Canis lupus familiaris: one gene and its partner. The protein of the gene in region 2 interacts with the protein of the main gene of each other region in a biochemical or structural test. Links are inferred from orthologs where the notes say so. Each region holds a gene or a part of one and is shown on either strand. Other genes may lie near its edges.

The links.
Region 1: the proteins of ubiquitin carboxyl-terminal hydrolase 17-like protein 6 (region 2) and CDK6 form a complex in vitro, tested with the Homo sapiens proteins (3 studies listed by BioGRID, with this or other methods). The link is inferred for Canis lupus familiaris from reciprocal best matches to the Homo sapiens genes USP17L2 and CDK6.

Annotation. Positions count from the first base shown.
Region 1 is NC_049235.1:18,374,727-18,379,125, forward strand, and holds the start of CDK6 (cyclin-dependent kinase 6), read right to left. Parts: upstream 2,934-4,399; 5' UTR 2,782-2,933; intron 2,149-2,781; exon of another isoform or gene 1,822-2,148; intron 1,542-1,821; exon of another isoform or gene 1,333-1,541; coding exon of another isoform or gene 1,206-1,332; exon of another isoform or gene 843-1,205; coding exon of another isoform or gene 190-842; exon of another isoform or gene 1-189. Other genes in the region: uncharacterized protein LOC102152579, read left to right, coding at 190-842, 1,206-1,332. UniProt on the Homo sapiens protein: Serine/threonine-protein kinase involved in the control of the cell cycle and differentiation; promotes G1/S transition. Phosphorylates pRB/RB1 and NPM1.
Region 2 is NW_023330959.1:17,684-21,460, forward strand, and holds ubiquitin carboxyl-terminal hydrolase 17-like protein 6, read right to left. Parts: upstream 2,170-3,777; coding exon 562-2,169; downstream 1-561. Other genes in the region: ral guanine nucleotide dissociation stimulator-like, read left to right, coding at 3,176-3,288, 3,556-3,664. UniProt on the Homo sapiens protein: Deubiquitinating enzyme that removes conjugated ubiquitin from specific proteins to regulate different cellular processes.

The DNA of each region.
Region 1 (4,399 bases), on a different chromosome or scaffold from region 2:
TTCCTCCGAGTTCCCGCAGACTCCCCTCCTCCTACTCCATAGAGCCCCCATCGCTACCCTCGGCGCGCTCCTGCCCTCTCCCAGGCTGCTTAATCCTTCCTGGTTCCTCCGAGAAAAGCGAAGTTACTTTTCTTTCCCTGCAGAGCTGGAGCCGTCTTCGCGCAGAGAGGTTGCAGGGGCCCCTCGGGGATGAGCGCGCGGCGCGGGACGCAGTGGAACGGGAGGGGGCGTGCCGAGCAGCCCAGAGTGTGCCGGGAGCGCGGGGGAGGGGAGGTGCCGGGCACGTCAATGTCACGGCTTAATATTTATCCCTACATCATTGTGTTGCACTGCTACCCACCCCGCCCCCCCGGGCCTGGGCGTGCAGGGAGAGGGGCTCCGGGGTGCCGTGGGGCTTTCGGGGGTTGTGCCCAAGCTGCTGTGGAGGGGCTGTGGGTCCACCCGTGTGGGGCTGCCGAATGTGGGTGGGGGCTCCCGGGACCCTGTAACCCGATGCTGGGAGTGTGCGAGGAGGGGTGGTCAGACATCTGCTGGGAAATTGCTTCCTTTCTTTCTACTTTCAGTTTTTCTGCGAGGAGACATTTAAAAACGACTTGCACACACAAATGGTCTTTTTGGGGTAAAGAAGTCTGGACTGGAAACGAAATTCTTCCTCCGACTCGGAGGACCTCCCTGGTGGAAACCCATGAGGTCGGGGAGGGCTGGGGCTCCCGCTACTCGGGAGTGGAGGAGCGGTGGGGCCCCAGAGGGGGGAGTCGCCCAAAGGACCGTAAGGGTGGGAGGACGGGTTATTCGTCGCACTTTGGCTTGTCATCTCCTGAGAGAGTAACTGCGGGAGGAAGGTAGCGTAACCGCGACTCGCCCTGAAATCCTCAACTAATTTCAACCTCATCAAAACCCAACCTCCTCTTAAAAAGGTTGGGGGTGGGAGGAGTAAATGCCAAGCCTCGGGGGTGAGAGAGAAGGGGCTGCGCCCTGGGCGCCGGGACTCCGAACCTTTCCCCACTCCCTGGAACTTCTCCAGATCTTCTGGATCTGAAGTTGCAGAGGTGGCTGCTCCATTCCTCCCTCCGCTCGAGGCCTGGTCTCATCAGGCAGGGGCCAAACGCGCCCCCCGACCCCCCGACCCCGCTCGGGGCCCTCCGCACAACACAGTGCGGGGGTGGGGAGGCAGGGTAGGGACACGCTTTCCCCTCCCCATTCAGTCGTAATCCAGGGCCGCCGCGGCCTCGGCGGTACATTCGCCACGCCGGCCGCGTGTCTGGAATCCCCGGGACACCTCGGAATTACCTGCCCCGCACCGCCGGCCGCTCGCCTCCTGCCAGGAGTTAAACAAATGGCGCGATCCCCACGGCGTGCTGGCAGAGGGGACCGCAGCGAGCGCAGGGCCCCTCACACTCCATTCAAAGCTCTCCTTAAAAGGTAAAGGCGAGTCCCGGGGGAGAAAGGACTGAGCCCCCCAAGAGCCTGCGCGGGGGTCCGAGCCAGGCCTAGGGCCACACAGGTAGCCGCGGAGCCGCCGGCCGCGCCGCCCGCCCGCCCCTCCCGCATCCCCCTCCCCGCCGCAGTCCGACCGGAGGCTCAGCAGCTCCGGCAGCGCCGCGGACGTCCCACCCCCGCAGGGAGCTGCGCCCGCTGCCCCCGCCCGGCCCCGCACCGCCCGCCCAGGCTCCCCCCTCCCCCCCGCTCCCCGGACCGTCGGCTCCGGCGGAGAGAAACGGGAGCAACAGTGCCTTTTCCCCCCCTCTCCTCCACTTTTTTTTGTTGTTGTTGTTGCTTTCCCACGCTGGCTGAATGTGACTTGACCCCATTTCAAAAAAGTTTGACATAGTGCTTCAACATTTCCGCATTCCTCCGCGACTACAAAGGCTGCAGCCGCCTCCTTCTGCTTTCTGTCTCTGCTCTCTGTCTTCACACTCAATGAAATCCTTCATGTGCCTCTCCCGAAGCCTGCCAAGCACCGCAAGGGTCGCCACCAGCGCAGCGACAAGAGGCCGCACGGGGACCACGACTCCCGCGTGTGCGCACACGCAGATGAGCCCCACGTGCACACTGTGGGGCGCGCTGCGGGGCCCGGCGCTGCTCACCGCGGGGTGTGCGTTCTAACTCGGATACTGCAAATTAATAAAAGTAAACTGGGAAGCTAAACGCCAACGTGCGTCCTTGTGGGGCTCCAAGCCCGTGCACTGGCCGCCTGCGTGCACTCCTCTAAGTGTGCATAACACCCCCGCAGGGGAGGGGGTTCCAGCAAGAAGCCTGCGTTAACATTGATCTCGTGGTGGAGAAGGTGGAGGCCACACCCACACCTCCGCGAGCTGGAGAGTGAGCTCCGGTGGGGAAATGAACGTGGGGCACGGAAGCACAGTGTCCCGCATGGAGTCCCCCCCGAGGCAGTGCATTTTAAACTCTAAAGGGTAGATTATTCTTTGAGGGTCCGAGCGGAGTTTATATTCCGCTTTAAGGAGCCTGATGAGTGCGTGGGTGTTTGCGCGCACGGCTGTGTGGGAGCAGCACCGGATCTTAGTGTTGGGGGGTGTCCCTGGTATGGGATGTCCTTCCCTCGCCAGATTAGGAGAGAGTCCTCTAACTCCCCAGGACTGGTCCCCATCCCTAGCCCGCCTCGGGTCGTAAGGGGTTAACTACAGCCGATTCCGAAGACGTACACCCCCCACCACAGTCACCTCCACCCACACCCCCGCTTCCGACCCCGGCCAAGCTCCCGAATCTCCCCCGGGGACCCCCCACCCCGCAGCCCACCCACCCGACCGCACTGCTCCTCACCTGAGGGGCCCGGCCGCGTCGGGCCTCCGGGGAGGGCTGCGAGTGTCTGTGCGACCTCCGCACGTGTCCACCGCGCGCCGAGCAGGTAACCGGCTCGGAGGAAGGAGGTAGCGGCGCTCTCTCCCGCGAAGGGGTGGGCACAGCGGCGGAGGGCGGAGGGACGGCGGAGGCACGGCGGAGGGCGCCGCCCGCGCCGCACGCTGGGGGCGGCCGGGGGCTGCGGGGCGCGGGCCGGGGCTCGGGGCGAGCCGGGGCGGGGGCGCCCCCCCCCCCCCCAGGCCGACTCTGCCCGAGACCCACCCGGAGGCGGCGACGGGGCTAGGGGCTCGCTGCGCCGAGGCAAGCAAGTGTGCAAATTAAAGCCTTCCGGAGAGAGGGGAGGCGGCGAGCCCGGCTGTGCTCCGGGTCTCCACTCCCCAACGCTCGGCTCCGAGTGGGGGGCGGGAGGGCGGCGGGGGGGGGGGGCAGTTAAATGAAAATTTCCGGCTTTCGCTGCAACTGGAGCGAGGGATCTTGCAACTAAAATACGAGGCGTGAGAGGGAGAGTGGGACGTGTCGTCGGGAGTCCGCGGAGTTTCCAAACCCAGGGTCGCCGGGAGTTGGGGTTTTGACAGAGTGAGGCGGGGGGACCAGCAGGCTGTGATGTGGCCGGGTGGGAAAAACACAAAACAACCAACCATAATTATGAGGGGCCGGTGGGGGTGGGAAAGACCAACACTTTCCAAGAAACTGAAAAATCAGACCAAAAAAATAACTCTTCTCTATTTAAAAAAAAAAAAAAAAAAAAAGTCTGGCAGGGCGCCTTGCAGAAAAGAAAATACTAATCTGTCCAAGCACTTTTCACTTTCAGCATGAGCTACATTTGTTTTGTTTTCCTTCGCTTCCTTTCGGCCTCACAAAGCCCTATCTTTTCCTTTTGGACAGAGGATAGGATTTGGAAATTGTCAGGCACTCTGTGGTTAACGACGTACTTGAAGGGGCTCGCGGGTTCACAATTATTAAGTGGTTAGCAATTGCTAAGGGTTCACTAAGGTGTTTCTGGGGAGCTAAAAAGACTAAAATTTAATATAAATATCAGAACTGCAAGATAATGGATACACACACACACACACACCCCAAACAAAGAGAAGAGAACGTGATTCAGTGGGTGCTCAGTTTAAATGCATTATTGGAATTCTGAAATTTGAAACCTTGTAAGAATGTATACTTTACCTGCTGAGAAAACCTGAATACAATTATTGCAGGTGAAAATGAGATTTTTGACAAAAAAAAAAGCCCTCAAGACCCTGCAAAGGAGTAAATCCTCCCCCCAAAAAAGCTGTTTTTGTTTTTTTTTTTTTGTTTTTTTAAGAATCCAGTGTTCTCTAAAGTCTGTATCTGTAGAATACTTGAAACCCTTTTAAACATCTTAAAGCAAAGTTAAAACATTTATTTATTTCAGATCTCTAGAAGAACTGAAATCCAGCGAAATACTGTTTGAATTGGAAATATTAACCTCAATAAATTTTTTGACTTTTTGAATTAAACCATGTTGCCCAATGTCAGAGTAAATCAAAATTTCGCCCTTATAAAATTAATTCCAACTACAGTGTGAAGTAACAGGTTAGGCAAATTAAAA
Region 2 (3,777 bases):
GTGGTTCAATCAGGTCTGGATGCAGTTATTGCCCCAAAAGTAAGCACTTAATTTCCTTCCTACAATTTCCAAGCATTGACCAAGACACATCGCTAGCAAGACCCAATACATACTTATGTGTTCAGACAAAATTCTTTCAATATAAATAGAAGAAAAGCATTGGGAAGTGGGGACCATGACGAGAGGGTCAAACATACTGACTTCAACCCCAGGTCCTCAGCATCATATCCACTCTCAACCCTGACTGCTCACTGCCTCTCACCTGCAAGTGGCCCCCACTCTCCACAAGGCTGAAGGAGAGGCAGGTTCCTGGATTGACCCCATATGAAATCCACACTATCCCAATATAAGATCATGACAAAGACCCAGGTTTAAATATCAGTGTCTCCTAGTTTCAGTTGAAGGCCATATCCCATGAACACACCAGATAGATGGTTCTTCCATACATACAGAACACACACTTCACACAACACAAAATATTTCCAGTATGGGTCTGTGTTCGGGTTTGGAGTGTGTGAGTGACGCTGTGTGTGTGGGTGTGTGCGCCCATGTGCACCAAAGTTAGGAGACACATCCCTGGACTGCTTCCCCAGAACTCTGTCCCTTCTTGCTCGTCCTCTTGGTAGGTCGGGCTCTCCCTGGCACACGCGGGACTTTGGCCACGTCCCCGGCCACCTGAGGTGGGAGCATCCCAGCCGCAGTGGTGAGCAGGTCGACGGTCTGCTGAGGATGATTCTTCGGCATCTCAGGTCTGTATTTGGAGTGGTGAAGGATGACTGCGTTCGCAGGAAGAGCAATTTCTCTTCTCCTGACATTAAGTTCAGGCTTAGGGCGGTTGCATTCTTGGAGGCATCTCCACTGGTCTAATGTCATTTGTTGCCTTGAGGTCTCTTCCCCACGCTCCTCCAACTCAGGAAGGTTCACGGAGGGATCCGTTGCCGGCTCTCCTGAGGCCTCACCCACCACTGTGGGGTCTGCCTCGGGAGATGCGAGTCCTCCCTCTTCGACTGACTCCCTCCCAAGGTCTCTCTCCAGATCAGTCTTCTGCATATAAAAGAGGACATAGGCAGGTTGGCGCAGCGCGCAAGTCACATCACAGGCGCTGACCTTAGCATCATCCATTTTATACCACTGGCCATTTCCTGCCTTTACGAAACAGAAGTAATGTCCGCTGTGGCAACTCCTCCCAGCGTGCACCAGCACGGCATAGAGCACATAAACCAAGGGTCCTGCCCTCTGCTCAGACAGGTAGTGTTGCATGTCAAGGCGCTCAGGATATTGCACCTCCTTAGTCATTTTGTTGCCTGTCAAGTCTGAGAATCGTCTCAAGACCAGGATGAGGACCTTCGGGGAAGTGTGCAAAGTCAACACCTTGGACGCAGGCACCTTCTCCAGACACTTACTACAATGGTAGGCATTTTCACCTTCCAGCAGTTCGGGCTTCACCAACTGCTCCAAAGCTTGGCTGACGCTGTGAGCATCCCCGATGTCCAGGCTGATGTCCAGGTAAGGTTCCAGAGTGCTCGAAATGCCTTGGCAGTGGAGACACTGGATTTGAGACCTCCAGTACCCCCCAAAGAGTTGCTGGATGAGGGTGCTGTCCTGAGGACACTCAGGGTCTGAGAGCTTGTCCTCAGGCAAGCATGCTTGCTGCATTGCATCCAGAATGAACATGAGATACTCATGGGCATCTTCCTGCTTGTGTCTGTGGAAGGCGGCGAGCAGGAGTGGCAGGGGCCGGAGCACACGTCCAGGATGGCAGAGAACCCACATCAGGTGAGCCTGCAGGGTACACAGCATGCAGGATGTCTGCCTCCTACAGGTGGTCCCGTGCTGCTGGGACAGCATGTAGCTGGCGAGGGGCTCTGTGTAGGTCAGACACTGTAGGGTCGCATTCACATAGCAAGTGTTGCCCATGTTCTGAAGCCCGGCTCCCACCTGGGAAAGGCTCTTCCAACTCAGAGGCGTCTTGGTGGGAGGCAGCCCTGCTGATGCGGGAGCCAACGGGTCAGTCGGGGAGGAGAGCGTCTTTGATGCAGGAGATGTCCTCTCGGGCACAGAGGGTCCTCCGTGGACTTCAGCACCGCCTCTCCTTGACCAGTATGACTGGGGTTTGGGAGAGGCGCTGAACTGAGGCTCCTCTGAGGGGTGGAGGTGGGCAGCCTCCATGTCTGCAGAAACAGTGTCCACAAGATACATTCAACCAGGAGCTTCAGGGTCGCAAAGGGATGCTCCTCTCACTGATGCCAGTTTCCAAATGTCAGATAGTGAACCTCACCTCCACCTTTATGGCTTTTGGGCCCTGGGATAAGGCACAAAGTCCTCTAATCCACTCTAATTGCTTGATTGGATTACGGGATTTGGGTGTGGTCCCTCCCTGACGGAGACCATTCAGGTCAGCCCAGCTCCTATTCTTGCCTCCCACAACAGGCAACTTTCAGATTATTCTCAACCACCTCAACTGTCCCTGCACCTTTCTCAACAGAATTTGTTCAGAGTTTCTATGTTCAGAGGAAACCTTTTTGAATGTCCTTTCCTTTGAGTAACCCCAAGGGAGCCAAGGAGTGTTAGACGTTAGTGCTCTAGGACAGGGAAGATCACTCTCCCAAAGGAGCTCAGGTATCACATAGGAACTCGTTCTCCTCACCAGCAGAATGTTTGTAGCTGAAACCAATTATTTGGGAATATGGCATCCATTGCTTGGCTTCTCCACTTCTATCTCTCTGGACTATGATTCCAATCTACAAAGATTGTGAATGTTTTGATGAATACCAGTTTCTGCCTTGGTGTGGCCCGGGTCCACCACAACAGGAATTCTCTCACTGGTTTAATGTTTTTGGGAAACATTCCTTTGAAACTCCCTTTCCTACAAGAGTCTATATCCTAAATCCAGTGTTTATATGCCTCATTTTACCTGTACAAGACCGCGGGACCTTGAACACAAGGCACCAAGCACCAGATGCCCGGTAACACACTGGGGTGCAACCTTCCTTCCCCTTGCCTTGGGCTCCAGGAGGCTGAAGGAGAATGTGGAGCCGGGGAGTCAGCGGGACCAGCGGCACCAGGCTGGGCTGTTGAACCAGGCTGAGAGGGAGAAGGCAGGGAGACGAAGGTGAGGAATGGGGCTTGTGACCCAAACGCCAGGGCTGATACGACAGACCCCGAGTCCGTGTGCATGCACAGTGTGCAGGGCGGCTGCGGGCAGAGCCAGGCAGGGCGAGGCAGCCAGAGGAGCTCCCAGGCTAAGAGGGGCCACATTTGGGTGATGGAGCTGTCCCTGCTGATTTGGTGTGGGGTTTGTGGCTGGAGCAGTGTCCCTGCACCAGTGAATGTATGGAGCTTGGCACATGCCAAGGCAGACCCTTTCAGACTCTGTATGTAAGAAACTGCCTGGACGACCTGTTCAGCTCCCTGTAGTTAGGACGAGGGGCAGAGGTGGGCGTAGATTGGCTGAGGACGGAAAGGACCAGGTTGGCCCAAGCCCCAAGCAGGTGTCCGGCTGGAAGCCAGGGAAGGGAGTTCCTACTCCTTTCCCTGCTTTGATTTCTCGTGCAGGCAAGAAGCCGAGCAGAGGAAGGGCCTGCTCCACAGGTTCCCCAGGAGACCCCAGGAGGGGCAGAAGCGCACCTGGAAGGAAGACACGGAATCTTGTGACTATGTGAGGGTGAGTGTGCGCTGCTTCCCGGGCTGTGCCCTTGGGGACTCCCTGGGCTCCATGGGCCTCCTGGTGGAAGCGGGGCTCCACTTCCTCTCTGACCAGTGGCAGTTGAGTAGGGT